4 linked regions of the Diceros bicornis minor genome follow. The protein of the gene in region 3 interacts with the protein of the main gene of each other region in a pairwise test. Links are inferred from orthologs where the notes say so. Each region holds a gene or a part of one and is shown on either strand. Other genes may lie near its edges.

Evidence for each region.
Region 1: the proteins of OTX1 (region 3) and COMP interact in binary tests that used the Homo sapiens proteins (3 or more experiments, as listed by UniProt). The two-hybrid records come from large-scale screens. The link is inferred for Diceros bicornis minor from reciprocal best matches to the Homo sapiens genes OTX1 and COMP.
Region 2: the proteins of OTX1 (region 3) and RGS17 interact in binary tests that used the Homo sapiens proteins (3 or more experiments, as listed by UniProt). The two-hybrid records come from large-scale screens. The link is inferred for Diceros bicornis minor from reciprocal best matches to the Homo sapiens genes OTX1 and RGS17.
Region 4: the proteins of OTX1 (region 3) and SPRY1 interact in binary tests that used the Homo sapiens proteins (3 or more experiments, as listed by UniProt). The two-hybrid records come from large-scale screens. The link is inferred for Diceros bicornis minor from reciprocal best matches to the Homo sapiens genes OTX1 and SPRY1.

The regions. Positions count from the first base shown.
Region 1 is NC_080759.1:6,347,717-6,355,030, forward strand, and holds the start of COMP (cartilage oligomeric matrix protein), read right to left. Parts: upstream 3,003-7,314; coding exon 2,924-3,002; intron 2,695-2,923; coding exon 2,609-2,694; intron 2,213-2,608; coding exon 2,161-2,212; intron 1,748-2,160; coding exon 1,578-1,747; intron 880-1,577; coding exon 742-879; intron 474-741; coding exon 399-473; intron 304-398; coding exon 145-303; intron 59-144; coding exon 1-58. UniProt on the Homo sapiens protein: Plays a role in the structural integrity of cartilage via its interaction with other extracellular matrix proteins such as the collagens and fibronectin.
Region 2 is NC_080778.1:15,790,787-15,798,476, reverse strand, and holds the start of RGS17 (regulator of G-protein signaling 17), read right to left. Parts: upstream 3,016-7,690; 5' UTR 2,915-3,015; intron 1-2,914. UniProt on the Homo sapiens protein: Regulates G protein-coupled receptor signaling cascades, including signaling via muscarinic acetylcholine receptor CHRM2 and dopamine receptor DRD2.
Region 3 is NC_080751.1:24,466,456-24,473,506, reverse strand, and holds the start of OTX1 (homeobox protein OTX1), read left to right. Parts: upstream 1-4,035; 5' UTR 4,036-4,137; intron 4,138-4,471; exon of another isoform or gene 4,472-4,484; 5' UTR 4,485-4,566; intron 4,567-4,810; exon of another isoform or gene 4,811-5,497; intron 5,498-6,117; 5' UTR 6,118-6,230; coding exon 6,231-6,327; intron 6,328-7,051. UniProt on the Homo sapiens protein: Probably plays a role in the development of the brain and the sense organs. Can bind to the BCD target sequence (BTS): 5'-TCTAATCCC-3'.
Region 4 is NC_080750.1:16,482,975-16,490,553, reverse strand, and holds the start of SPRY1 (protein sprouty homolog 1), read right to left. Parts: upstream 3,010-7,579; 5' UTR 2,888-3,009; intron 2,181-2,887; 5' UTR 1,445-2,180; coding exon 1,363-1,444; intron 1,207-1,362; exon of another isoform or gene 1,128-1,206; intron 591-1,127; exon of another isoform or gene 432-590; intron 1-431. UniProt on the Homo sapiens protein: Inhibits fibroblast growth factor (FGF)-induced retinal lens fiber differentiation, probably by inhibiting FGF-mediated phosphorylation of ERK1/2. Inhibits TGFB-induced epithelial-to-mesenchymal transition in lens epithelial cells.

The sequences.
Region 1 (7,314 bases), on a different chromosome or scaffold from region 3:
CGTCCAAGTCCGTGTCGCGGCCGCACAGGAGACCGTTGCCCGCCCAGCCGACGGCACACTGCGGGTGAAGGAGTGAGTGGGCGCCCCGGAGTGGCTGCCCCCCGCGCCCTCAATCCTCGCCCCTCCTGGCCCGCGCGCACTCACCACGCACGATCGCGAGCCATCGCGCTCCAGGACGCAGTCGGCCTTCTCGTGGCATGGGCTAGGCGTGCCGTCGGGGCAGAAGCGCTGTGCGCGCGGACGGCAGCCCGACGCCTGGTCGCCTACGAAGCCGGGCTGGCACGGGCCGCACTGGAAGGAACCCTGCGCCCGAGTCTCAGTCAGCCCGGGCCGCCTGCCACTTCGCACCGCACCCCGCCCCCGTCGCTCGATCCTTCCCCTCTCCTCCTGGGCCTTACCGGGGTGTTGATGCACACGGAGTTGGGAACGCAGTTATGCTGCCCAGTCTCACACTCGTTAATGTCCGTGCAAACCTGGGTGGGAGGGAGCGCAGAGGTAACCGCCCCCACGCAGACACCCCCGAACCTCCCACGAGGCTCACATTTCCTCTGCATCCTACTTTTCCCTTCCATCCTGCCCCCAACCCTGACGCGGACCCTTCCTCTCTCCATCCGCCAGACCTTGGTCCCCACCCCCTCGCGCTGGAGCAAGGCGGGGAAAAGGCTTCGAGGCTAGAGAACGCGTTACTCAACAAAGTGCGCCCCCCATCTCCTCCTAGCGCCTCCCTCCCACGGCCCTCACCTGCTTGTTGGCCTTCGCGAAGGCCATCCCCACGCCCTCGTGGGTGGGGCCGCTGTACCCGGGAGGGCAAGCCTCGCAGCGGAAACCGGGGCTAGTGTTGATGCAGCGGACGCGGGGAAAGCACGGGTTGGCGTTGCACTGGGGGAGGAAGGGCCACGGGGTGTCAAGGGCGCGGAGCTGGGCCCCCCGAGAGCAGCGCCTCAGGGTTTCTTGGGCTTGGACTTAGAAGGCTCCACGGTCATCAGCCAGCACTTGGAGGGGGGTGCCATGTAGGGCGGAGGCCATCGTCCCACGAGTCAGATGCGACTTTGCCTTGATGGGGGCAGGGGCGCGACCAAGCTGGGAGAGGGGCGTGTCTGGAGGGGGCTGTTCTTGCGACCCCGTGGGTTGGGTACTCATGGGTAGGGGAAGGAATTGTGAGGGCGGGCGTCCCCAGCAGAAGGGGGAAGTGGTCGTCGGGGCGTGCGTGCCCGGCGGTGGGGGGGTCGCCGAGGCAGGCGCCCCGAGGTGGTGGAAGGGTTATTCGAGCTAGCGAGCCCTGGAGGCACCAGGTCAGGTGAGGGGGGTCGTTGAGGCGGACCACTCTCGGCGGTAGGAGAGTCGTCGGGGCGGCCGTCACTGGCGATGGAGGGGGTCGGTGGGACGCGCGTCCCTGGTGGTGAGGGAGGTGGTTGGGGTGGGTGCCCCCCGACGGTGGAGAGATTGTCTGGACGTGCACTCCCGGCGGTGAGGGGGTCCTCCGGGCGAGTACCCCCAGCAAAGGAGGTTGTTGGGGCGGTGGGGAGTTGTGGGGGCAGGCGTTGGGGGATCGTCGGGGCAGTAGGGGGCGGGCGCACCTCGTTGACGTCGGCGCAGTATGAGCCGTTGCCTGTGAAGCCCGCGGGGCAGGGTCCGCAGCGCGCGCCGCTCGCGGTCTGGGTGCAAGCCACACCGGGGAAGCAGGAGCCCGGCGCGCACTGGGATACGGGCCGCACGCTCAGGCTGGGGGTGCGCGCGGGCTGCATCCCTGCGAGGGGCGGGGCGGGACTGGTCACGGCCACGCCCCGGGGCGGAGCTAGCAGGACCACGCCCCGCCCCCCCGCCCCGCACTGCGCGTTCCGCTGGCCAGGTCTCTCCAGTTACTGCGGTCTTTGCCTCTCCGCGTCCGTCCGCTTTCTGCTTCTCCCTCCGCGTCTCTCCACCTCCCTGCATCTCTCCCACGACCTCTGGCTCTTTTTGTGTCTCCCCCTCCCATAGTCTCTGTCTCCCCTCCCTGTTCGCCTCTCTCCGTCCCTCATCCAATCTCCATCTGGGTCGGCCTCCTTCTCTTCCTCCGTCTCTTTTCCTCCCGGTCTTCCCTTCGCTGTTCGTCTCTGTCTGTCTCCCCGTCTCTTCTCGCTCTCCTGCCCGCCCTGTCTCTGCTACCCCAGCTGCGCTCACCGCACGCGTCACACTCCATCACCGTGTTTTTCAGGAACGTGATCTCCTTGACCTGCAGTGCAGGGAGTACGGGGCGTGCTCAGCGGTCCTCACCCCTCTCCTCCCTCGGGTGTCCCCTCTCCTTCCCCCAGACTCCCTTCCCACAGACCCACCCACTCCACTCGCACTCCCTACCCCCAGACTCCCTACCCCGCCAGCCCCTCTTCTCCTTCCCTGGGACTTTCTACCCCCTCAAGCACTCCTACCCTCTCCGCGGAACCTTCTATTCCTGCCCCCGCTTTCCCTCTTCCTTTTCCACAACCCCTTCCCAGGTCCTGGTAAGGGGGTCTTACCCACCTCCACCGGGACCCCCTTCTCCCCGACGCTCCTCTACTTCCGAGGCCCCTTCCCTCTCTCCCAGGCCTCTCTCCCCTCTCCCGCACTCCCTGTCCCCCACCCCGGCCCCCACCTGCTGCCGCAGCAGCTCCCGCACGTCCTGCAGCGCCGCGTTGGTCTCTTGCAGTTCGCGCAGCATCTGCGGGCCCAGGTCTGTACCTGCGCCGACAGGGGGCGCTGGTGGGGCGTCTGGGCTCGAGGACCCCCACCACCACTCACTCCGCCGCCGGCGCAGGGACCCCGGACGCCCACCTCCTTCCTGAGCCTCCGCCCTGCACGCCCCCGCGAACAGCCCCGGAGCCCCAAGGAGCCGAGACCCCAGGCCTCCCGCGGGTCCTCCTGTCCGTTTGGGGGTCCGGCACACACCGCGGGGGAGGGCGCAGCTTACCCAGCGGGATCTGGCCCTGGCCGGATGCGCCGAGGGCGGCCAGGGTGAGGAGGAGAACGCAGGCGGCGGCGAGAACCATGACGGCGACGGGGAGCTGGACGGAGGCTCTCTCTCTGCCGCCCACGAGGCCTGCGGGGCCTATTTATCCCGGCAGCGCGGCCGGCCCCAGGGACGGCCCACCACGGCCCTGCCCAGCGTCCATCCGCAAGGTAAACAGATGGCACTGGCCTCTGCATTCAAGGCCCCGCCCGACGCGGCTGAACCCGGACCCGGCGGGGAAACTGAGTCACGGGGAGCCTGTGCAGGGGTCGGTGGGGCGGTGAGTCAGGTGGGACCACCCTTCATCCCTCTCATTCACTTATTTATTGAGTGCCTGATGTATGCCAGGACTGGGGCATAGCGGGGAAGGAGAGGATCCCCATGGCGGCTCCCCTCAGCTCACACTTGGGGAAACTGAGTTAACAGCTGCTAAAGATCAGGACCCACCTCCACTGGCCACCCTGCTTTAGGTCAGGCTGGCTGGCCCTTCCCTCCCTCCTCACTTGCTTCAGAATGGGGCAAATGATGTCTTTCTGTGCCTCAGTTTCCTCCCCTGCACAATGGAGGTATAAGTATCATTGTTGACGGTGGTGATTGTTATTACAGGAAAAGGAAGGATCAAGCGAGAGCAGGGACCCTCTGTCTTCCTGCCCAGGTGCACGGGGGCTTTCTCCTGGCCCCCCTCCCCAGAGAGTTGCCAGTGACTGTAGGCACCCCTTTCTGGTCTTGTGTCTCTGTGATTCTCTGGATGGGGTGGGGGCAGCCTGGTCTCCCAGGGGCCGGGAGCCCACTCAGCTTCCCAGTCTGTGCGATGGGCTGTGCGTGAATCCACCTCCGGGGGCGGGGGCGGAGAGCAAATCAACAGGCTCTGCTGGCGGAGGTCTGGGGGGGCCTGGGGGTTCTGTTTGTAGAGCCTTTGCCATACCTTCCAAGCTCCGCTCCAGCTGCTGTGGGAACAGCCTGTAATAAAAATAAAAATTACTGCTAATCAGGAAAATCGTCCCTCCCAGCCCAGCCGCACTTGAGCTACAAGACACCTTGGCTTTCTGGAGTTAACCCTCTCCACCTCCACCCTCCAGTGCTTGCAGCCTCTATTCTATAGACGGGGAAACTGAGGCTCAGAGAGGGAATGTGACTAGCCTAAGGCCACTGCAGGGGGCAGGGGTGAAGCCAGGGTAGGGTCATAGTCAGATCTGTTCTCCTGGGAGGCTGCAGAGAAGTCATGGAGGGCTTCCTGGAGGAGGTGGCAAGGAAACCTAAAGGAAAGAGAGGACTCAAATCAGCAGAGGGAAAAGGAGAGGACAGTTCTGACAGGGAAGCGTTTGGAGCTTGGACGTGGGGAAATTTCAGGCACATTCATTTATTCCGCAAATGTGCGTTGAGTACCTACTGTGTGTTGTGTCCTGTGCTGGGCACAGGGACACAGGGTGAACAAGCCAGGCTGGGCCCTTCCCTCATGGGAAACCCAGGTCACTGGGGAGGCAGCTATATAATCACCAAAAGGGGCCAGGGCTGTGATGGGGGACGCACAGGCAGTGGTGGGAGCTCCAAGGACCAGGAAGATGAGGAGGACACGGCCAGCAAAGAAATGGTGGAAAGGCCTTCTGGGTAGAGGAACAGTATACACAAGACCCTGAGGCAGACATGAGACTGGTCTGCTAGATGGACTGATCTCAGGGTAGAGATTTCTTGGGGCTCAGGAGAAGCAGTGCTCGTGGTGTGGGGCTTGGGCTGTCTTCTGAGGGCAATGGGGAGCCACAGAGGGTGAGTGAGGAGGGGTGGGCCTGGAGGTGAGGCTGGGTGGGAACAGCTAGCCCCAGCCCAATGTCTCCAGTGAAGCCCGTGCCCTGACAGTGCCCGCCTTGCCTGCTGCCTGCCACCGGGCCATGAGCTCACCTCCTGTTTTCCTTGGCGTCCAGCACACCTGGGGGCCGTTCCTGGCTGGCGCTGGAATTCTTGGGAAAACCACGACTCCGGCAGGGCCTGTGGGCTTGTGTGTGCCTCATGCAGCTGAGACAAGGGCACATGGAAGCCAGGCCTCTGCCACAGGCTGGGCACGGGGCTGAAGCTTGCACACACGTGGCCTTGTTCATGGCCATGGGGAGACTTGGGGAAAGGCGTTCCAGGCAGAGGGAATGGCAAAGGCAGAGGCCCTAAGGAAGTCCCAGCTTGCAGATCAGACACAGAGGCCCTGAGACAGTCTAGTTTCATGCTCCCGGCTCCTCGATCCACCAGCCCTGAAATCCCCCTTCCAAGCAGCCGCTCCCTCCTCCCATGCACACCACACCAGCCTTACGTTACAGAATAACTCACTTTAGGTGTCCTTCCCGGCCGTTGTACCTGCTGTTCCCCACCACCCCAAATATCTTCCTCCATCCTTCAAGTCTCAGCTCTGACGCCCCCTCCTCCAGGAGGCCCTCCTTGCTCTTGCTGGGCAGGGCTCAGGGGCTGGTGCCTGTATGACAGTCGCCTGGGACCCCTGGCAAAGTATTCTTGGCAGAGAAGGTTGGGATGGCCTGACCCCAGGGACTAGGAGTGCTCTGTCCCTCCCAGCCTGGGGCCCCTCGGGGGCCTGTGCTGGTGCAGAGGGGGAAGGCTGGAGGGTTTGGTGAGCCATGACAGCGCCTGCTAGGATTAGTGTGACATTATTATTCCTTAGAATTAATGTAGCATCATTCCTACCAATAATAGTAACCCCTGCCACCACTGGACCTTAGGACAGACTCAGGGGCCACATGGCCAGGCACAGCCTTGCTGTGTGACCTAGGGCAAGTCGCTTGACCTCTCTGTGCCTCAGTTTCCTCACCTGTAAAATGGAGGTGATAGTTGTGAGAGGATAGTTATTGAGAGGATTGAATGAGCTAACCTGTGCCCACTGTCTGGCTGCAGTGTTAGCCTCATTATACGACGTGGAACTTAGACGCTGTGCCTCAGATCATTCTTATTCACATTTTCCTCAGAGAGGAGACGAGACAGCTCAAGGTCACACAGCTGGGGTTAGAACTGGGGAAGGTGGGACCCCTAAGGCCTTCACACCCCCTCCCTGCCCTTGGCCACAGAATCCAGACTAGAAATGCTGGCCCGGGCACCTCATTAGCTGTGCAGACTCTGTTGCCTGGGACCTCCTGGCCTGAGCCTTTGGCCAGCGCCCCAGCCAGCCCCCCTTCCCACCATGCCAGACCCAGCGGTTCCAGGAGCCCGGCCAGGCAGGGGTAGAGGGGCCGGGGCCTGCGTGATGGGGGCCCCAGGCCCTTCCTGGCAGAGCCCTGCTGGGCCAGGAGACATGTGGGCGCCCTCAGCTCGCCCAGCCGCCTCCCCTTGTGAATTCAGGGGGAAAGTATGTCGGGACGGCAGCCGCCCTGCCCTGGGCGGGCTGGGCTGCAGGCCCAGGGTCTGGGGAATTCATCAGGGCAGTGAGGGAGGCCACTTGGCCACTGCTTCATCCATAGCTGAGGAGCCTGACCCAGTCTGCCTTGGACGGCCCCACTGGACCCGTCTCTCCACAAGGACCAAGTAGCCAGGGGGTGTGGGGGGGCAGGGTGCCAGCAGGCACTGGAGTCTGACAGGCCCACTTGCTCTGTGACCTTCAACAAGCCCTGCCTCCTCTCCACCCTTCATTTGCCCCAACCCTGTCCCCATTCCATCCTAGGCTCCCCAAAAGGTGATGACAAACAAAGAAGATAACAATAAATATAGTGGCTACAATTTTATGGAGCAAGTGCCAAATGCTCGAAAGCTTGCCATGCCACTTTTGTGAGTTTTCCTTTTCTGTACGCCGCCACCCTCCGCAGCCCCAGGAGGCAGGACCTCATTAATCATGGGAGGCAGCAGGCACAGCGAGGAAGGTCTTGGTCTCTGGCACTGGGGCCCTGAGTTTCACATCCCAGCTCTGCTGTGGGACCTGAGGCAAGCTGCTTAACTTCTCTGTGCCTCAGTTTCTTCCTTTTTTCTTTTCTTTTTTTGGGGGGGAGCGAGGGGCCACCTTCAAAAGTTTATTATAGTGTAAATTTTTGCTTCTCAAGGTTAGCCAGCCTACTGAAGAGTTGCTTCAGGAGAGAAGGAACTTCGCTGGGAACTGACTGGAATTTAATGATGTGGCATCCAATGGATGCTGGTGTCTAAGAATGATTTTACACAGCCGCTGCCTTCTTAATTTTCCAGGGATGACTGCGGCAGGACAAATGACCACCTTGGTGTTCTCTCCTTTCCTCTCACACTTAATGACAATTTTGTAGGTAAGAGTAAAACAAATCTGTATTGTTTTACAGATGTATTAGAGAGAGACTGCCTGCCGGGCTAACTACAGAAATATTGTTCTCTCCCTCAGTCTCTCTCTCTCCGTCTAAGGAAGT
Region 2 (7,690 bases), on a different chromosome or scaffold from region 3:
TCCATAAAAACTTACAATATTTTTGAGGATCCAGAACACCTTCCTGGAAATGTCATGCAATTTTAAGCCTCTACAATGCATTTATGCTTATACGCTAACTGTAGTAATCAGATGAAATAAAATGCTTTTTAACATCACACAGCGTTACTGTCATCCACTGAGTGTACAGTGGTCCTTGCATTTGCCCTTCTATGCAGTGCTGTATCTTCATTGTTAAGTAAGCAGAGCTGGATATTCAGAAAAAAGAATCTCAGCAGAAATGCAACTGGATGGATTCCTATCCCTCTTGGTTCCACATCTCATCGTTCATGCCCGTCTTTCATTTTTCAGAAAAGCCCATGTCTTTCAGCAAATGGACTTTTAATATGAAGGCCATTATCTCTAGAACACAGGTAAACGCTTTCTTACTTTTTAGTCTATGAGTCAACCAGAATTTTTATCAATTTAGATTTAGATTTGGCTGTTATAATAAGGTCAAATGGGTAAGAATGTGTATATTTCTCCTTTTCTACAAAGCCCCTGGCCCTCATAGTAGGAAATATTAAGAAATGTTTTATTATTATTATTATTATTATTATTATGCAAAAGTGTAAGAAGTCCATAGGAATGATAATGACTTAGACTTTCAACATGATGAGTTCAAATAAATTAGGACCCTGTAGGAAGATCCCTAAAAGCAAAGAGATAGCTATTTGAGAAGGAAAAGCTGGATTCCTTAGAATTGGACAGCAAAGTAACTCCTTGTTAATTCCCTTCTATGGGAATTAAACACCAAGGAGTAATTGAGGAACCAGAGAAAAAAGGGTAGAAATCGGCACAGACACCTTATGTTATTTGCTCTGTAAATTAGGTGGTTTTCTTAACCTCTCAGACTATAAATTCAGGACAAAGGATGAGTGCCCAGGGCTCTGAGATCAGATGTCACTGTCATGGAGATTCATCTTATTTAATGTGATACCATCCAATCCTTTTGTAATAATAAACACTTGTTTTCTCATCTCCAAAAACTGTTAATAAACTACTTTCTCATGGTTTCTCTAAATATAGTTTTTAAGATTTTTAAAATAGTGAATAAATCTACTCTTCCATGAGTGTGTTAATTACTGTTTTAGTTCATGCTAACAGAAGAAGCAGCTTAATAATAGTGACTTAACTGGAGGTGATCAAAATGCTCATTCATTTGAATTAATGAGTCCGAATCACCTTTTCATTAGATATTAGTGCTATAATGTATATTTCACTGATACCTGCTATTACTACAAAAGACTTTAGAAACAAATACAATTGACTTAAAGTGTCACAGTTTTCAAAATTATTTAATACACATAGTGTCTAGCAGCTATGAAACCAGGAGAAAAACATTATTTTCCATTACAAGGGTAAAAACTGTTTCTCCTTTCTCCAATTAAATGATTTTCAGAAGGGTTCATCACCCGGAAAAACAGTATGTATGAAATCCGGAAATGCAGATGATAGATATCCAGTCTTATAAATGCTTATTATAAACGGGAACCAAACTCTAAGATTTCTCTCTATTACTTGTGATAGCCATCCCATGATGGAAGTAATCTCGCTGTAAAACAACTGAAAAAAGAAAAAGAAACTATGGGAAGATTGCAAAGTTCTCTAGACAAACCTTCCAGTGACTCGCTTAAAGAAGGAAGCATTTATCAAAGGGTCAGAGAGGTTAGGAAAACTATGCCAGGAGCCAGGGTCAGTCTTGCCAGAGCGACTGAGATTGTCCCAGGTGAGCCGGTGTCCTGGGCTCTGGATGGAGGCGGAGGGCGCAGGGCGGGTCCCGCACGGCGCGCATCCTTTTGGCCAGGAGACCCCTGCTCTGTCCCCGGGAGCCCGGCGATTCCCGAGGCTGGCGCGGGCTGCCCGGGACGCACTGCCAGCAGCCTCCAGCTCGCGAGGAGCATCTCCCCATCCGCGGCTTCCGAGGCCAGCTCTGTCCCTCCGCCATCCTGAAGTCCTCCGACATTTTTCACCGAGACAGGAAGGTAGGGAGAAGAGGAAACGGCCGAGCGTCTGCACCCAGCCTCTGCCGCAGCACATGAGGAGGAGAGGAGGAGGGAGGCTATTAAACTGTGATTCTATCGATAATAAAAAGAATCATCACCCACAGCAGGGGAGTCTCGGATACACCCACCTGGGCAGCGGCTAGGGAATTGGTGGGCGTTCCTCCTCCTCGCCCCCTCGGTGGCTGTGAAATCTACCCCAAGCCAAGCACACAAGAACTCCCTTTCCTTCGACTAAGGAGAGGGCAAAGAACAAAAGAGACCCCCACCCCCTACACACACACACACACCTCAGACATTTCACCGATGCTCAAGGTATGCATTTCTGCAATCCCTTTGGCTTACACCTTCCCCACCTGAATAGTGCGTTTTCCCAAAGGTAAAGAAAGAAAAAATACCATGCCAAGGTGATCGGTCGACTGGACACTGTCAATTCACATTCGGTTTTCCAACAAACCCCCACAAAAATCCCGCAGGACCTCGCGCCCCCGCGGGGTCTCCGCCGCCCTGGGCCCTCTGCCGGTTCCCCGAAGGCGCCCAGCTCTCCGCGGGGGACCCGACCGAGGGCTCCCCGGGCGGGCAGGACACTCGCCCAGCCCGTCCGCCGCAGCTGGAGGGCGGCGAGCGGACCGCGCCGAGGCAGCAACGCCGGACGCAACTTCCCAAACCCGCGGCGCGGCCCCCGCTCGCACCCGCGGCGCGGCAGCAGCGCCGAGCCCCCCGCGCCCGCAGCCTCCCCCGCCAGGGCGCTGGCAGTTGCACTCTCCGCCCCCTCTTTCCTTCACTTCCCCCCCCCCCCAACCACCACCTTTAAAAAATTCATCCCTCGGTGCAAAGCAGACATTTTGATGTCATTTACTTAGCCCCGCTCGGGTTCGGAGCCAGCATCTTACCCAGCCGCCTGGAGGTGTGGGCAGCGCACCGATGGGTCCGGGGGCGCGAGGCTGGGCTGCTCGGTCCTCTAGCGGAGCCGGTTTGCTGCCATCCGCCCAACTTCAGCACCCAGCGGGCGAGGAGAGAGGGAGAGAGGCGAGGATGGAGGGGAGGGGAGAGGGGGCGGAGGGAGGGGTGGGCGGGGAGGGAGCTGGAGCCGCTCGGCAGCGCGCATGCGCCCCGCGGGCGGGCGCAGCCCCTCGCCCGGCGCGGCCGGAGGTGCCGCTTCTTCCCCGGGCGCGCGGCCGCGTGAGTCACCGCCCCGCCCGGCCCCCGCGCGCTGCCCGCGGCTCGGCGCCCGCGGTGCGGAGGGTCTCGGCCGGAGCTCCCGGCGCGGGTGCAGGGCTTCGCGGGAGCCTTGGAGACCTGGGAGCCTTCCTTGATTAGAGAGGCTCTCGCGCCCAGGCTCCAACTTCACGTTCACCCGCAGCCCTCGTCTGTTTCATCCTGTGCTTGAGGAGAGTTGCTTGACACCAGAAGCATGTCTTTAAGGAACAAAACAGCGCCGCAGCAGCGGGGTCCCAGTGGAAGCAGTCCCTGTGTGGGGGTTCAAGAAAGTGTGAAGTTAAGCAAGTTTTGCTTACCCAAGGACTCGACTTTGGGAAGAGTTCTTTAGTTTATTGACGTCCTCACCCGGGAATCTGACCCTTTGCCCTAAGAATTATTTCAGATGCTCTCTGGTCTGGGGCATATGTTCTGTCTCAGGAGTCTGGACCACTAGAACCAGAGTTTTGATTGAGAGAAGCCGATGACAAGGCAGGAGTCGTGAATTATTAACAGAGGTGTTGATGCTTGGGGCCTGGAGCATCCTTCAGGGACAGCTCAGTAGCTATCAGGTCTGATAATTGTTCTAGTCACAAGCGGAGCCCCGCTTGGTAGTGAAGGAGCTTTGGCTACTTAATGCAGCCTGAGCGCTAGATTGCATCTCCGATGATTAGATTGAAGTGTTTGTGAGGGTGAATTAGGGAAGCGGGTGTCTTTCTCTTCAGATGTGACATCTGTGGGAAGAGGAGTGAGTTCCTGGCAGGAATGATTAGGCTTTTTTCTTATACCTATTGCAAACTAATTACTTGTAAGTATATATGATTTCCCATTGTTTGTGTGCTCATGTATTCAAACAGTGCTGTTATTTCAGTCTCCTTTATGGAACGTGCTCTGGCCTCCCACCTCTCCACCTCTACTTGAGTTAAGTGTGTCTCAGAGTTTGCTCCAGGGCCTCCTTCTCGCTACATCATGGCTTTGAAGACTAGTGCTCTTCCAAATGTATTGCCTGGACTGGTGTTGGTCTGCAAATTGTTCCTTATCGGTCTGTAAGGAGAGAGAAGTACAGAAATTGAAAGTAAGATGTAGAAACTTTTATAGCACTTTGACATTGCCTTGACATCCAAGCACATTCATCAGCTGTACTTTCTGTTTTTTGATTTGTAAAGTAATTCATTTTTGTTGGATTTTACAAAAGTATTGGTCCACGACGCGTTGAAAATAAAAAATAGAAGTCCTTCACCAAAAATGATTTGAGGGGCACTGAATTCTATGTAACTCCCAGATTTATATCTTCAGTCCTCACCTCTCACAGAGCTCTTTTATGCCCTCAACTACCTTTACAACTCCATTTGAAGAATGATTATAATAGTTAATATTTATGGAGCAATTACGGTGTGCTGGGTACTGATCTACATGTTTTGCATATGTTTCTTATTTTCTCTACAAGGTAGATACTATTATTATGTTTAACTGACAACTCAGGAGCAGAACTCCAGATACCCGCCCCCTCCAAACCTGTTCCTCTTTAGACTGTTCCACCCGGTTACTCACGTCAAAAATTTAGAAGTCATCCTTGTTTTGTCTCTTCCTTTCACGCCAGCATCCAATTAATTAGCTAGCCATGTTGTCTCCACCTCCAAAATATAGCCCCAATTCCTCCACTTCTCTCCCTCTCCATTGCTATAACGATGGTTCAAACCTCTATCGTCTCTCACCTGAGCTACTACAAAAGCCGCCAGTGGGGTCTCCTCCACAACCCCAAACAACACATTCTCCAAACAACAGCTGAGTGATCTTTTAAAAACGTAACCAGATCATGTCATGCTTCCGCTTAAAACTTTCCAGTGAGTTTTCATTGCACTTTAAATACAACCCCTGATCCTTACCACAGCCTAGAAGGTTCTGTATAATCTTGTCCCAGCCCAGTTCTCTTACGCCATGTTCCCATAGACCATACCTATGTGTGCTATAGCCACATCGGCCTATTTCTGTTACTCTCTTGAGTAAGTCTAGCTTACAGTACTTGCTGTTCTTTCTGTTTGGAATCCTCTGCTCCTAGATCTTTACATAGTAGGCTCCTTCATATCCTACAGGTCTCTGCTCAAGTATCACCTCCTCAGGCTTTATCTAACCACCTGATCTAATTGGCCCCAGGGTTCTTCTCTGTTAGATCTCCTTGCTTTGATTTCTTCCAGATACTTTTCACTATCTGAATCAGCTTGCATTTGTTTACTTGTTTATTATCTCCTCATCCTCCTCTAGAATAAAGGATCTCAAGAGCTTTGCCTGCACTTTTATCTCTGGTGCCCAGAACAAGATTTGGCACGTATTGTTTACTCACTAAGTATTTAGTGAATGAATGCATGATTGAATGAATAAATAACACACTTAAAAAAAGTATTTTATTATTTTTTCTGATGCTTCTTCTTCTTGGATCCTCATTGCTGCCTGTCACAATTTGTTTGTTTCCCAGCAGTACACAGAGAGACAACATTGTTTCCTCTGTCCACCCTGTCAGAGATGGCTCCATGTAATGGCACACATTTAAACTAGACGCCAGAGTCGTGTTCCTAGAACCAACTTGAAAACAAGCATACTCAATAAAAAAATGATCCTTACTTCCATGAGCTTCCCTAAATTGTAATAATGGCTACTTGGGCAATTTTTTGCACCTAGGACAACTTGGCTATTCTGCCAATAATTTACTTGCTAAAGTCAAATGTAACCTCTTGGTGACTTTCTTTCATGCCTATGGTTTGTTGTGTAATCCTTTATGTGTTAGCCAGAATCTTCAGTGATAGTGTTCTAGGAACTGGACGTGTCGCCTATGATCTTAATGTTGAACAAATGGCATTAATGACCTTCACCTCATAGAGTTTGGTCACTTGCAATCTGTGTGTATATCTGGGTCTTAGGAAATATCTGCAACACCAGTGACATCAGATGATGACTAGGTCAATAATTCAATTCAATAAACTTTATTGATCAATAAAATTTATTGATGTCTACTATATGCGGGGAATTATGTCTTCAAGTTTTTTTGCAAAAATTGTAAATGTTATATAAAATTATTATATATGACTCAGAAATGGATTTCAGTTCATTTCAGCCATGGGAATGTCTTCTCTTTACACAGAATTTTGGAGCTCATTGAGCTTATCATCATTAAACAGCTGTGTGGTAACTACAGAAAGCAGCATTTGATCCTGATCATTTCCATACTGTTATGGATGTGTTTTTCAAGTGCAGAGAATCTGGATACAGCAGCAGGATTTTTGGCATAATGACTTCATAGTAAGGCAGACAGGAGATTTGCAGGCAAGATATTTGCAGACAGAAGGTATTGGAAAAGGACAGAGCATAAAAATATTTACAGTACATTTACTCATAATTAGGGGTATTTGTCATCGTTAGGAGACCTGGATTCTACCTCAGTGAGTTTGATACCCTTGGAAGGTTTTTTCAGGAAGAAATTATGTAGCATCTTTACATTTCATTCTCTTTTCCCACATGCTCATTTATTTAAAAGCAACTGTTTTACCTTCGAAAAGCAGAGAGAAAAGGAAGAAATTTGCTTGAATCTAAAAAACCCTGACTGCTCCATCCAGGCATACTTCTCCAGAGTGGAGCACGGAAAGATAGTTAGAATATGACTGCTTAAAATCACTTTTTCTTTACTTTTAGTAAACGGGCTTATCCTGTTTCTTGAACTGGTTTTAATCAAGCCTTAGAGACATGCTCTTCTCAGGGAACTTATTTAGATAGAAAATACTTGTGTTTCTTCATCAATATTTGAAGGAGATGAGAAAAAGAAAACACAAGATAGTCTTTCTCCCAAATATATAAAATGAGGTATAATTAGAGTTTTACATTTTATATGCACTTTAGTTTTTATAAATTATTAGTTATTAATGTTTCCTTAATATTTAACTTATCAGCCTTGAACTCAAAAGACACAATATTATTCTTTCAGAATAGCATTAGTGCATTTATATCTCAATGTAATTGGATGATTCCATGGAAGTAGAAATAAATACCTTTGTATGATTTTTATCATTTATGCCCAATTTTGTATAACTAAGTTCCCACAATGGCTTAACAAGATAGAGTTGGTTTTGAGTCACCCTAAATACTTTATAAAAGTACTCATTAGATGAATCCTGGATATTCACATTCTTTTTGGTTTAACAGATCTACCGTATAATGTTGGACAACATTATATGATAGCAAATATGGAAAAATAGCAAAATGTTCATCTCACCTGGAGAACATGATGACATTCAGTTATTACAGTCAGATTCTTTGTGGATGGAGAAAAAATTCCAGAACTTAATGGTCCATATTATATTATCTTGAGATTTTTGAAGGTTTCTAGATGATAGTAGCTGGATTGTAGAATAGGCTTCTGCTTTGTCAGACCTACCTCCAGGGTCTGAAGGAAGGAAGGGTAGAGAGAGGCAGTGGTTTGATTT
Region 3 (7,051 bases):
TTGAAAAACAATTAGTCATATTTTCTTAAGCATTGTAAACTATCATCTTTGGTAAAGGGTCATCTCTGTTGTTCAAGATTTGAGGAAATTTGTGATTCCACAGCACTGTAAAAGTGTTAGTATCTTGATGAATTTTCCACGTTGTTGTTTTCAGTTGTTATAATTTTGCACTCATATGAGAAAGAACTGTGACTTCTGATAACTGTAGGTGCTGAAGTGAAAGAAAGAGGGTTATTGTCGGGGGGAGGGGTTTTTGTGTGTGCAGATACATGTGTATGAGATGAGGGAAAGGGAACTTTTAACAAGAAGTTCTAGGCTACAGAAAAAACTGGCGATTTTATGGTAGTTTCCATCACTCCTCTGCAGAGGTGTCCGAAACAAAGAGAGCTCGTTCAACAAGTCTGGAGACAGAGAAGACAGTCCACCAGCATTTATACTTTAGCCTAGATCACACATACATATATACACACACATACATTTATGCAGATATATACAAACATAAATTCCGTTCGAAAAGTCTGCAGCCGCCTTCAACTGCCAGTATTTCAAAATGATAAAAACTTGCTACGGCAGAATTTCTTCATGACAAGGATTTTAAGAAGTTATTGAAAAGTTATCAGAACGAAATGAAATGGGGTATTTGCTCTCTAGGGGAAGCTCTGAGAACCCCGCTCCACCCCGAGGGAAGCCAGCAGACGGAAATCGCCAGCCCGAAGCAGCTTGGGGCTTGGGCGGCCAGCGTCATCCACCCCATTTACGCTGGATTCGGGGAACCTTCCGTCCCGAGGAGCCTCGCAGAGAGGCGGCTCCCCTAAACCTCTCCCGACCTGCCAAGTGACAAACCTTCCCTAGGCACAGATTTGCTGCCCCTCTCCTGCTCTTACTGCCCCAGGCCTGAGCCTCGCGGGGTTTCCATGTGAGCTGCTCTGTGGCGCCCGCACGCCCCGCAGCGGCGGCAGAGCGCGGACCCCCGGGACTAGCGGAGTCAGGCCCGCGGCGTCCCGATTTCGTCGCGTGGTGCCCAGAGGCTGCCTCCGGAGCGCAGGCGCGAGCTCAGCCTGCGTAGAGGCCGGGAACCCGAAAGCCCGCGCTGCGGGAATAGAAGCTGGGGGCCAGGGGCCGCCGAGGAGGAGGAGCATTGGCATCGGGCTGGCTTGGGCATAGCCCGCGGGCTGGTGCAGAACCTCCGCCCCTGGCCAGGATCCCACGGCCCCAGAGCCAAACCCCTCCCCTTGTCCCAAGTGTTCTCCAGAGTCTGGCCCGGCCTCGAGGTCACCTGGATGCTGGATCCGGGTCTTGGGGCCCAGCTCCCACGCCCCCTCCCCGGCCCCGAGACCTCGAGCTGGGTCGACATGCCCTTTCGCGATGCCCCTCTTCCCCTCCCGGCGCTGCGGCCATTGCTGGAACGGTCGCGGCTTCTAGCCCAGAGTCTCCCACCTGGACATTTGCCTAGCGACGGCCGCCTCAGTCCTCTACGCTGTGTACAAGAAACTTTCATCTCAGTGTCTCTCCCTCTCTACTCTCCCCCCTCTCCCCTCTCCTCTCTCTCTTTCTTCTCTTAATCCCGGGGTTTTATGGGTTGAGCATTAAGAAAATTCGCCTGCAATTTGGGATTAGATAAATACTCTCATTAGGGGGGAAAAATCGTGCTGCTTGATACCTCCCAACTTCCCCGAGACCGTGGCAGCATCTGGAACCGAGAGCGCCGGACTCCCGCGCGGCGGGCCCTGGGGACCTCCTGGGCACATTCCAGCGCGCACACCCGCCCCACCTCGCCGCGCCGGACCTCGACCCGGCGCTGCGCTGCAGGCGAAACGGCCCGGAGGAAGCAGGAGCGCAAGAGATTGCGGGACTGGGACAAGGGCGCGCACCCCGGCAACGGAGGGCTAAGAACCCAGGCACACAGAGCGCAGGCCCAGGCAGGGGCAGCGCGGAGCTGGGGACGCAGACGCTGCGGAAGCGCCCCCCGGGACGCCCACACCCTGGTCCCCTCTAAACTAGTGAGCTCCAGCCCGCGCCTTTCCCCGCAGCTGAAGGCGGGGGTGTATTTCGTTTCTTTCTTTAAACCTCTGCACCGTCCCGGGGGCTCCGAGCCGCGGGCCGCGCCGGCCATTCCCCACGGGGGCCTGCGCGAGCCTAACGAGCGTTCCCGTCCGGGTCAGCGCTGCGCTCTGCGCAGTTTCTTTTCCTGTTAAAGCTTTTTCTTTCTCATGTTTTTCCTTTTCTCTCGTTTTTTTATTGTTTTTTCTCTCTCTCTTTCATTCCCTTTTGTGACTGGGCCGCGGTGTCTTTGTTCTCGAGAGAAGCACCCGTGTCGCTGACTTTTGTGAACCAGAGAAGGGTCTTGTAAAACCTCCTTTTCTCCTTCATACTCCTCCACTCCCACCCCTCCTTCTTTGCCCCTTTGATTAGATGTTCCCTCATCGTCCAAAAAAAAAAAAATGTAATTTCGTTGGTCTGGCGGCCACTTTCTTTGAACATTAGCTCGCTTTCAGCTCCCAACTTCAATTAGAAGGAGTTGATTTTGAGAGATCAACAAAAGAACCGACCAAAGCCTTATTAAAGGTCCTAAGAAGATCTCCCGAGTCCTTTGAGAAGCAGTTAAGGAAACAGTGTGCCCTCCATCATATTCTGTTACCGTATTTTATTCGGACTCCAAAGGAAAGTGTCGCTTGGGGGAGGGGGAAGCACTTTGATGAGCGGCGGCCGCGGCCCCTTTTCACTCAGCGGGCTCTCCTGCCTTCTCCTCCTCCGCCTCGCCCAGCGCCCGGTCCGCTCTCGGTCCCGACCCCACGGCCCCGGCAGCGCCGGCGCTCCCCACCGCGATGCGCCTGGCGGCTCCTTGACTCGCCCTCACACTTACTCCTGTTCAAAGTTTTCACTCCGCCTGTTGGGGTGGAGGGGAGGGGGGATTAGGAAGAAGGGGTAGGAATTCCTCGAAAGGGAATGAAGTCGTGCCTAATATTCAGGAGGAGGTGCCATTTAAAAGAATTGCGTTGCTCAGTGTTGGGGCGAAAAACTTTTTTGCGCTTTGAAAAGTCTACCCAGGTAGACGTGTTGGAGAAGTTGTTCTGTTGGAAAATGGGCTTTGCCAGTACGAACAATCCGGGGAAAGCGCCTCAAGGAGGCTCCTGCGGCATGTGGAAAAGAAATTGAGGGTAGCGGTCTGTGGCCACGTTTTCCAGCAGACTGTCCTGGTAGGAGGAGACCGGGAAGGAGACAGAGAGACAGTGTGAAAGAGAAAGTTTCCTATCAAAATCTTTCGATTCAGAAGTAGAGTGTGTGTGTGTAAGGGGGAGGGGACGCCGGGCTCCAACGTTTCAGAAGAAGCGTTTACAATTTGCAAGCACCCTTCGTAGGGGCTGGGAACCCCAAGAGACGCCGAGGAGCAGGTAAGGGGTGGTGCCTCTCCTGCGGGTGCTGTTCCCGGACGCGGGAGTCCAGAGGCGCCAAGGCGGGATCTGCGCACCCGGAGCCGCTCCCGCGCTCGGCACAGTAGCCTGTGCCAGCACGAGCCGCCCGCGGCGTCCGTCTGCAGGTGGTGGCGCGGTGGAGGAAGACGCTGGGGCCCGCGGCGCCGCGAGAGGGGCCGGGGCCCCCTCTCCTGCAGCCGCGGCTGCGGAGTCCTCGCGTCCACAACCGGGCCGCCGAGCCGAGTGGCGCTCGAGAGAGCGAGGGAACCGGTTCTCCGGCACCGCGCCTCCTGTCTGCCACTCCCTCCCGGGCGCCGAAAGGGCGAGAGAAGGGCGGGGGCCCCGGGACGGCCTCGGGACCGGCGTCCCCCTCCGCGGCCGAGGCTCGGGCGCTGCGCTCGCCTGCCTCGCCTCGCTCTGCGAGGCGTTTGCCAGCCAAACCCCGGAGTTAGCGCGCGACCGGGGCGGGGCGGGCGGGCGGCGAGGGCGGGGTGCAGGGGGCGGAGGAGGGCGGGGGCGCGCGGAGGTAACCCCCGGCTCGTGCTGCCATTGCCCGGCTCCCTGTCACTCAGCCCGCGCGGGCCCCGGGATTGGCAGCCTAGCCCGGTTACGCACTCACCTCGCGTTCACATACCCGGGGAGGGCAGTAGAAAGGTGATCAATCTTCATCAGGCTACGTTTCCAATCACCTAAACAACCGGGCGAGACAAGCCACTCCGACAAGGTAAATCGCTTGATTTATTTAGTTTGCAAAGTGCTTCTGCAGGACCTCCCCAGCCCCCACCGCCTCCACGTCGTACCGGGAGTGCAACGGCAACCGCGAGCCACCTCCCAACTCTGCCCCTCTCGCCCCCCACCCTCCCCCTTGCGGCCCCTCGGCGCGGTCCTGGCAAGGTAGTGTCTTGGGTAGTGTGTAGGGCTTTGCAAACAAAGTGTCTGTGCAAAAAAGTGAAACCTGGAGGGACATGCACAAAGCCACTGAAAAGAAAGAGAAAGGAGGGAAGTTGGGGAAAGAAAGAAATCCGGGTGTCCTCGACCAACCGCCCAGCCTGGCGGGTAATTCCTGTGCAGCTCTGTTTTGCAGGTTGGCTGCCCGGCGGGTCTGTGTGAGGGCGCGAGGTAGATGGTGAGCGGCCCCGGCAGCTGAGGGCAGGTAAGGAGAAAGCCGCGGGGCCGCCCGGGACTCTAGGAACGCGTCGGTTGCTCTTGCTTTCTCCTCCTCCTCAAACGGGTCCCAGCTTCGCAGATCCCCGGCAGGTGGGCAGGGTTGGGGAGCGGCCTGGCACCCCTTTTGAGGCGCGGAGGACCCAAGAGCTCTGCTGCGGCCCCGGGCCTCCTCCCCCGCCTGCTCCGAAGTAACCGAGCTGAAGTGCTAAGTTTGAAGAAAATCTTTGAAAACTCAAGCTGCAGCCTAGCAGAGTCGCCGCAGCTTGAGTCCCATTCTCCTTCGGCCCGAGAGCCCCGGCTGTTTCCCTTTCGTCCCCTTCCCTGAAAACTGGGTTCTCCCAGCCCAGGTTGAGGGTCCCGGAGGATAGGAGAGGGGAGCGTCTTTAGCTCTAACTCCTCTCCCTGAAATCCCTGGCCCTGGTGCCAGGCCTGCTGTGACTTCCCACGAAGCGGGGTGAAGCGACAGGTCATCTGGGCCCCAGTCCCACTCCCGCAGCGCCACTTTCTGACCCTTGAGAGTAGCGCCTTAGGTGCGGGGCAACTCGGGAAGCGAGGCTTCGACCTTCCAGCCCCGGTCAGCGCGAGCTACGCCGCCGAGGCCTAGTTCTCCAGTCTCAATCGGGTCCCGGGGCCGCGGGTTCAGCGGGTAGGATAGCGAGCGCGCGGGACCTGCTGCACTTAGGCCTCCCAAATCCGCGAGACATTTTTGGGCGCTGGGCGGGTCACCTTTCAGCCCCCGCCGGGACCCGGTTGTCCGCAACTAGGACCGGGCAGAAAGAAGGCTACCGGCTTGTGTTGGCAAAGAAGGGCCTGTGGCCGTGGCTGACCTCGGGCCGCTTGATAGAACCGCCACCTCTACAGTGGCCCCTTCTGGCCGCCTCTGCCGGACCTGCGGTTGAGACGTGGTGGGATTGCGGGTGAGCAATCTTTCAACGGCTGGGCATAGAGAGGTCAGCTGGAGGGGTGGCTGCGGGCCCTGGGGCCGGGACTCAGCCACGGAGACCTTTGAAGGAATGTACTCTCCTAAGTGGGCAGTGCCTCCCGGAGAGGCCCAGGTGCTGCTAGCACCTTGGTTTTCTGGTGTCTTTTGTCCCGCTTTCAAAAACAGTTGAAACAAAACGAAACAACCCCTTGTGCTCTGGGCAGCCCGCCCGGGTGCCGTGTGAACGTTTGCTTGTGCAGTATGAGGCCGGCTCCCACCGGACTCAGAATTTTGCCTAGACTTGGGACCTTGCACACTCTGCGGTTCAGGCTCAGACCTCCCCAGCTTGGCCCTGCTTTTAACCTCTCCTCACTCCTAGCGACGCCCTGCGAGTGTCTTTGGCCCTTTCCAAGCCCGGAAAGAGGCGATGACGATCCAGAAAAGTTTACTTTTCAAAGAAGCTGTGGTCTTTGGGCTAAGGCTTTGTAGAGCTGAGTCGACTGCCCAGCGCAGTTCCGTAGCCTGGGTCCCCTCCCCATCCGGTGGCTCCTTGCCTCAGAGAAGACCAGGAAGCTGACATGGCTCCGAATGACGGTTTGTATCGTGTCTCCATAGGCCGGGCCCCCAGACGCAGCAGAGCTTGAAAGGACTGCGCGGTGGGAGACCCGCACTGCGCCCGGCCCCTGGCCCCCCTGGATCCGTCGGGGCGCCTCCACCCGGCTGTTAGCATGATGTCTTACCTCAAACAACCCCCATACGGCATGAACGGGCTGGGCCTGGCCGGGCCCGCCATGGACCTCCTGCATCCCTCCGTGGGCTATCCGGGTGAGCACCAGCCCCCACCCCAGCCCCTGCTACTTTGGGGACCCTCGGTCTCGGGTTTGAGCACACGCTTTGTTGCCCAGCAGGCCCAGGGAACCGGTTGCCTAGTCTGCTTAAAATTCAGGGCAGGCTGCAGGCTCACAGGGCCGAGTCGCGGGTCGGTGAGATGGGCCAGGGCGGCGAAAACGTTCAACGTGCGCTCTCTCGGCCGGCCACACCAGCAACCTGTATCCTGTTGTGGTCCCACTGCCAGCACGGGGCACATTTACCCACGGATTCGTTTCCCATGGGTGGCTTTTTTGGTGTGTGTGTGTGTGTGTGTGTGTGTGTATGTATGTATGTGAATCTGTTCCTTTCCCCCCAATATGGAATGCGGAATCTGGACACTCACTAGGCCCTGACAGGAGGAAACGAGCTTCCCATATGGGAAGCCACTGGCTAAGCCGAGGAAGGGGAATTCTCCTTCCTTAGTTAAATTGTCCTTTAGACCTGTCGCCTGTACCAACTTCTGCGCTGCTGATGTGGACGGCTTGGGTCGAATCCTGGCTTTCTTTTCTGGTTCCCATTCCTGCAACCGCATTTATTCCCTTGGCAAGTGTTTTCCAGGTCGTGTTTCTGCGTATCCCTTCCCCATCCTTCAGCCAGGGAGTATGTGGGAGTGGTGGTGAAGGAAGGGAGATTGTATAACCTCTCTTCCTTCCTTAACCTCTAAGCGGCAGGGAAGGGG
Region 4 (7,579 bases), on a different chromosome or scaffold from region 3:
AGAAACACATTCATAACCTGCTGGGTTTAGTCCTGGAGTCCTTAAGGACTGTTAAAAATATTGCATCGTTATTCTGCGCAATATCACTCCTCCTTGCAAAGAACTTTTTTAACCCGGTGCTTTGAAGGCAAAGAGGATCTAAAAGTCCTAAGTCAGATTCTAGCCGAAAGAAAAAACCGTGGAGAAGGGTTTGAAGAGCGTAGTAAAAACACCAGGCTCAACTTGAATCGGAGTTGGAAATGAGAGCTGTAACAAAGTGCATGCTGGCTGGGAATTCGATTACCAGATAAAAAGAAAAAGCAAAGAAAACGAGCCACCTCTGATCGGAAGCAAAGCCCCTTTGCACGCAGTGACAGTCCTTGAGCTCTCCCCAAACCCGCTCACACGCTCTCGGCAAACTGTTTTCCCCCCAGAAAACACGAATCCAATACCTTTTCGGACAATCCCATCACATCCTAAGGATCACCGTGGATTTCCAGAACATTTTTGCATATCCCACCAAGTTTTCCTACAACCATGAAGAGCCTTCGGAGCTAACGCAGGCGCCAAAAGCAAGCCCCGGCCATGGAAGGGTACGAATAAATATCTGTCCCTACTTTCAAGGAGAAGCCGGATTCCTAAAGAGCCGGGGGGAAGCGGGCCGGGGCAGCCGAGCCGCGCCGCCACATCGCGCGCTCCGACGGTGGCGCTGCGCCCTCTGCAAGCCGAGCGGGGAGCGGCGGGGAATAAATAGTGGCGGAGAGGAAGGAAAAGGAAAAAGTTATGAATGAAAACAAGTTCTCTCTCGCGCGCGCGGGCGGGCGGGCGGAGGGAGGAGGCTGAGGTTACCATGACCTCAGGGGGGCGGACTTCCCCCGTTAAAGCGGCAGTGCCCTCGCCCCTCGCCGGGCCACCGCTCTCGCAACGAGGAGAGCGCTGCAGCGGCGGGGGCGCGGACTCATTCTGTGCAGGGGCTTCCAGCAAATGCCGGGGCTGCGCCCCTGCACACACGCGCGCACACACATGCACACACGGCCCTCCCCGGTCCCCCGTCCGCAGGAGACTCCTCCACTGAAAGCTCGCCTTTGGCACGAGCCGAGAAGCTCCCGGGGCCCTCCGGGGAACACCCGAAACCTCCTTGAGTCTACCTTTCGCGTGGAGGGTCCCCCGGGAGGACAAGCGCGCCAGGAACTGGGGACCCTGCGTCGCCGTCCTCCGCGGTGGCGGCAGGTCCCCTCCCCGCTAAACCAGCCGGAGCGCCCCGGGCCGAGGGGGTCGCCCCTCCCCTTCCCGCGCCGCCCCCCGCGCCCGCACCTGCCGCGCCGAGCAGCCCCGCCCGCGTCCCCCCCCCCCCCCGCGGGCCCAGGCGGCCCCGCCACTCACCTAGGCCGAAGCGGGGGCGCGGAGCCGAGCCGTGCAACCCGGCCGAGGTCCCGGTGCGGGCGGCGGCGTGCAGGCGCCGCATCAACCGCGGCGGGGAGGACGAGGAGGCATGGCCCGAGCTGCGGCGAGTCGGCCCGCGGCCTCCCCAGCGCCGGCAGGAGCGCTCGGCACGGCCCCCTTCCGGCGGCGGCGGACAGCTCTCCCAGACGCGGGGCGGCCGGCGCACACCGCTCACGGCTCAGGAAGCTCCAGCGCCCGGCCTTCCTCCCGCAGCCCCCTGCCCAGAGCCAGCAGCAGAATCCCCCGCGGGCGGGCTCTCCGAGTCGCTCGGGACAGCGGCGAGAAGAGTGCGTGCCGGGCCGCCGACGGGCGCGCGGTGCTCGGACGAGAGGGCTTCCCGGGCTCAGCTCGCTCCTCGCGGGGAAGGACGGAGGGCGGCCTCCGGAGGAGGGAAAGTCCACGGCGCGGACGCTCGAGACTCGCGGCGCCCGGGACGGGGCTCGAACCGGCGTCCGCGGACCGGGGGCACACGCCTGCGAGGCCGCGGCCGCCGCTCTCCGGGGGTCGGGGGGTGGGAGTTTTTTACCCGCTCTTTTAGGGGTGGTGGTGAAAGGAGCGAGGTTTAGGGGTGCTTCTCAGAGGAAGAGGCGGGGCGTCGTGGCTGGGCCCCCGCGCAGGTCGAGGCACGCTGGCGATCCCGCACGCTGCGCCAGTTGGGGCACGGCGTCCCCGGGAACTCAGGTCTTGGCGGTCAGCCTCTCCCGGGCAGCGCGCGCTCCCAGTCCTCCGACCCTCCGGGTCCACGGCGGAAATGCCTGCTGCAGAGGAGCAGAGACAAAAACACGTTAATTTCCCTTTCTTTCCAGGCACTTGGACACGTCGCGCGCTCGGTCGCCCGGGCGGAGAGTGGAGCGGGGCGGGCCACTCGCCAGCTCGCCCGCTGCCCGCAGCCATGTGCTGGCTGTTGCTGCTGCCCGTGATTGACAGGCCGGCGCACAGTCGGCGTGTCAGCAGCGAACCAAAGTAACATGCAGTCTTGCACGTTTTTGCCGAAGTGCTTTTGCCCCTTGGAATGCCTAGGAGTTCAAACAACGTTCAAGCAGCGCCTCTGCACATTGGAAATCAATACACAGAGACGGGAAATTCAGGTTTTAAACAATTGCTTCGCTCGGGATTCGGTCGCCAACAATGCCTAAACAAACATGCATTTGGTCCACCCACCGAGCCCCTCTTCGGCATAAACCACCCTGTTTTTCACACATCCGACTGTTTCAGATTTTAAACTTGTTACTGTTCGGAAAAGTAAAAAAAAAAAAAATTGAAAGGGACCTGCTTTTTCTTTTAGCGGTAGCATTTACTTTTAAAAGCAGTCGTTTTAGCAGTGGGAATGCTACTGGTAATTTGAAATGCAACCAGTAATCTTAGATCTAAAGCGAGTTCAAAGAAATGTTCGGTTCCGTGCAACATTTCTCACCTAATCTTTCCTGAAATGTCTATGGAAGGAAAGGAAGGAAACGGTTCTTACCTAACGCAAAGATTGGAAATTGCTTTTCAGGCACATTTACAGCGACTGTAGCTGTTCCTTATCCAAGGCAGGGAGCTCTGTCTGCTGCTATCACTCTGCAAACCACTGCGTGCCTTACAGAGCGATCCCACTCCAGCGCCGCAGAATTTCAGCTCCTAGCCTCCACCTCCACCTCCGCTCGGAGACACGCCTCCAGTGATATCATGTGTCAATCACACGGGCTGCCTGAAAACCTGGAACAGGATTTCCCCAACAGTCGTTTCCTCTTTCGTTTATGTGTACCAACTGGGAAATGTTGCCCTGTATGGTCGTTGTAATAAACATCCTCTAAAAATTTGAGATTGCTCTGAAAATCCTGCAAATGTAGTTTGTCTTAAAAGAATACCTTTAAATTTAGTTATCAATCTCAGTAAAAGGATTGGTGGTCTCGGCCCTTAAAGTTGAATTAGAAAATAATTTTAAAGAATAAAAGAAGATTTTAAAAACTGGTATGCCAAGCTATCACTTATGATCAGCTGGAGAGAAAATGTATAATGATATTAAAAAGACGATGATGGAACATTACAGTTCCTACGTAAAGCAAATTCAGAATATGCGAAATCTCGAAGTTCAAAAGGTGGCACCCCTTACTGCAAATGTCCTGTTACATCATGTCATAAAGGTGAAATTTCCTGCTGTAGATTTTTAAATAATTGCTCTCTCGGTTTGTGATATAATCCCCCAAAATCAATAAAATGAAAAAAAATCCTAAATTCCTCCAATTTTGTAATATGTTTGTATAATTTTGCAAAAAATAAAAAAAAATTATTTTTTAAAATCATCTAAAAGGCAATTAATTAAAATAGAAATAACTTGCCAAGAAGTTTTAATTCTTAATCATATATAATGTCGCTGAAAAAGACGAGCATTTTAATCAGTAGGAATCTTGCTTTTTGTGTCCTTACAAACTATGGGATTTTAGACGTTTATTATCAAAATCATGTACTTCATGCTGCAATGAGGAAAATTTTATGTGAAATTTAAGGTTCTAGAGAGACTTTTGAAAGATACCTAAAACCCCAAAACATACAATAAATGGGAAGGAAATATTTTTTCCAGGTACTACATAGCAGAAGTATCTTACAGTCTTTGGCAAAGTAAAGCAAACAAAACAAAACTCCAGAATCTAAATCTTACATAAATTTGAGTATGGAAATTTTCAGTTCAAAGTAATTTTTTTAATCTCCTTCTACAACTGCAAGTGATTCTGTTGAATTTTTTTTTTCTATACTAGACTTTCAAATGTTTGAGTACTTTAAAAATTTAGAGTTGTATTTGGAATTAGCTCTGAAGAACCTAGGGCATTGTTACGACCATCAACAACGAAAAGAAAGCATCAATAGAAAATAACAGAACAAGAAATGAAGACATAAGCTACATATCACTCTTAATATTATAAATTGTATTAAAACAGGCTGTTTAAAACCATAAACTCAACTTTATTGTATATATTTTCTATTTTTTTCATCTATCTCATATTTTGGGATGTAATGAACCTTAACCAATGATGGATAGGTTTTTTGACCATTATTAATGGATTTGGAATAGTCAAATCAGAAATAGAAGATCATATCGGAGTCACTTAACTGGTTCTTCAAAATTGTCTTCTCAGCTATCACCACAATTTTGGGATGAGAGGTCACTTCACCAATGTGATAAAACCAGGAGAGGGAGCACTGAACATTCCACTTCCATAAATCTTACAAAAATTTATTTGAAAGATTTCTATTACAAATAAACTTCAAACTATTTCAACCACAGATATATTAAGTTATAATTTGCATGAGATTAAGTATTTTTAAATTACAACAATAAATAAAATCCATGAAATTTTATCTATAACACCATCATCATGGGTCATGTTCTATTTAGAAATCAAATATTATGCTGCACAAAGCTGACCAATGACCCTTTACATCATTTAGCACTGAAATATATCAATGTGGTTTGCTCTAAATGTTGCATTACAAATAAGTATGAGTATAGCCTTGCCACCCTGGATCTAGAAGAGATTTAAAACCTGCTTCTCCATTTGATTGCCTGCAACTGTAAGACTTTGTAGAAATTCTAGATTTTTAGCTTAAAATAGAGATTGTTCTTTACTTAGTAAGTTTAATTACAGTGTACCTTGGCTAGAAATAGATAGTTGGAGTATAAAATTTTCCTGAAAAGGAAAAACAATGTAAATATCCATGGGAAAATCTTACAATAATTTTCAGTTTACTATATTAAGATATGTCTAAAAGAATATAGTGGAATGGAAAGTGAGCCCTGACTAGTTCTTCATTTTCATGTGAAAACAAGATGAGCCATCTCTTCTGCTGATTTGATTTTTGAAAAAAGGATAAAGTAAAATGAAAGAAAACAGTCTGGTAATTCCTCACAACTGCTAAGGATTGTTTTTAAAAAGTGTAATACTGAGAGGCTTAACTTAGTCATTTATCTACTTTATTTGCCAAAATAGGAGAACCATAATGTGTTCCAAGCTCTTGAAAAATAATCTTATTAATTCTCCCAATGCTTCTGTGAAGTCATGATAATAACTATAATCTTTTATCTTGTTGAGAAACAAACAAAATAATCACAGAAGTTGGTGAGTTAGCCGATAAGAATCTAATAAATCAATGAAGAACCAGGAATGGATGCTCAGTCTCTACTTTCCTTCTAGGGCAATAGTCACTATATTACTATACTTCCCAAGAAAAGCTGGCAAGGATAGGCCATTTTATTTTCAGTTTCCTTTTGTAAACAATGTTTGTAGTTGACAGAAATAGACCAACCTATTCTGTAAATTTTCCATAAACAGTCTCTTCATTTTCATAAGCGTAATTCTCATCCTTCTGCCCTATTTGAAATACTAATGTTCTGTATTGATTTCAAATTGTGGAAGTGGGCAAATCAAACAATATATTGAGTAAACTACACTAAATGATTTGTAGTTTCTGTCAGCTCTATAATTCCACAACTAACCATTTGTGTACTTTGTCACAAGTGATTCTGTTTTTCTACAAGTTGTAAGGAAAGAAAGAAATGCACATGGAAGGGCTCTGAATTGGTGCCCTTCATTCCTTAAGTGTCATATTCCTTTACAGAGAATCAAAGTGGCAAGTTCAGACAAACTGCATCACTACTGTATATCAAAGACTGGACTAATGAAACCCACATGGTAAAGTCGTATAAGGAGACATCTTTCACCTAGTGCAAAACAGGCTTCATTTCTTGTCTAGCCAATTGAAGAATAAATCCTATCTTCTTTCCTCTTCCATAATATTAAACGTTTCCTTTAGAGACTTGACTTGTTCTTCATTTTCGCAAGAAAACAAGATTAGCCATCTCTTCTGCTGATGTGATTTCTGAAACAAGGCATGGAATGGCCCTTATAATGATCACCTGGTATCATCTTTGATTCTGGCCAGCAAGTTATTAATCTCTCATTTCCTTAACTATCTATTGCTATCTTCATCTTCAGAGACAAGCACTAAAAACCTAGGTTAATTTAAACCTCTAAGTGCCCCCAAAGATAAAACAGTTAGAAAACACAATCATGTTTTCGTTAAAACAAAAACAATTTAAAACCTCTCCTGGGTCTTGCCCACTTTGATCTTTATTTCCGACTGAAATAACCTATTCCAAAGGCTATAGTTTATCCTTTAGCTGGGAAAATAAAAGAATATTTATTTGATGAAATGGCTGTAGGCACGCCTTCTTTAAGAATGCCTAATATTGAAAAAAGAAAACACAAAAACTTACAAGAGATTTTTTATAAAAAGAATTTATATTGAGAGTCTTCTTTGATTTGCAATTCTCTTGGAGCATTTTAAATAATTCCACTTATAAAAACATTTCACGTGGTCTGTAATATTGATAGGACACATATATTGAAAATATGAGTTTTGACTACATCATTTTTCTATATCATGGTCCATAACTTTAGCTAATATACCATATTCGTCCATAATCTCCCCATGTCCAATATTACAAGCATGAAAATGGCATGGTATTGAGAAAAGAGTACCTGACGTAGGGTCAGATGATATGAAACTCAAGTCTTGGCTTTGCTACTTTCTTGCTTGGTGACCCTCACTTAATTTTTCTTAGCTTGCTTTCTCATCAAAAACCTGAAGTTAATAACAATACTTCGCCTTCCCAAGTTATAGTGCTACTGTGGACTGAATATATATATGCAGTACTTGGTAAGCTTTAAAGCTCTGTATATATAAGTTATCATTGCCTCAAACACACTGTATGATGAGGAAATAGCTCAGGTTCCCTCTTTCTAGGAGCTTCATCCCCAAATAATGAATTTATTTGTCTTGTAATTGTTTCAAGTTAATTCAGTTTTACTTTTGTTTTTCTAAGGCTGAACTCTTAGGTTTAAATAATTGTATTGCTGTGTGTGTACGTGTGTTTTAAGTGGGATTTTGGAGCAGCTATCTGCTAATAATTTCAGATTAAGGAATTTAATGAGCCTGATCACCTTAACATTTATCTGGAATTTTTATTCATTTACATTTTACTTCCCGTTAAGATAAAGGTCATTGCAAATATTAAAAATCCCTTCTATAAAATTTGTAAACTCTTTGTGATCGTTAAGAGTAAGTAAAGCAAATACATGTTTTAAAAAAGTAATTAATATCTAAAAAGTTGAAAATA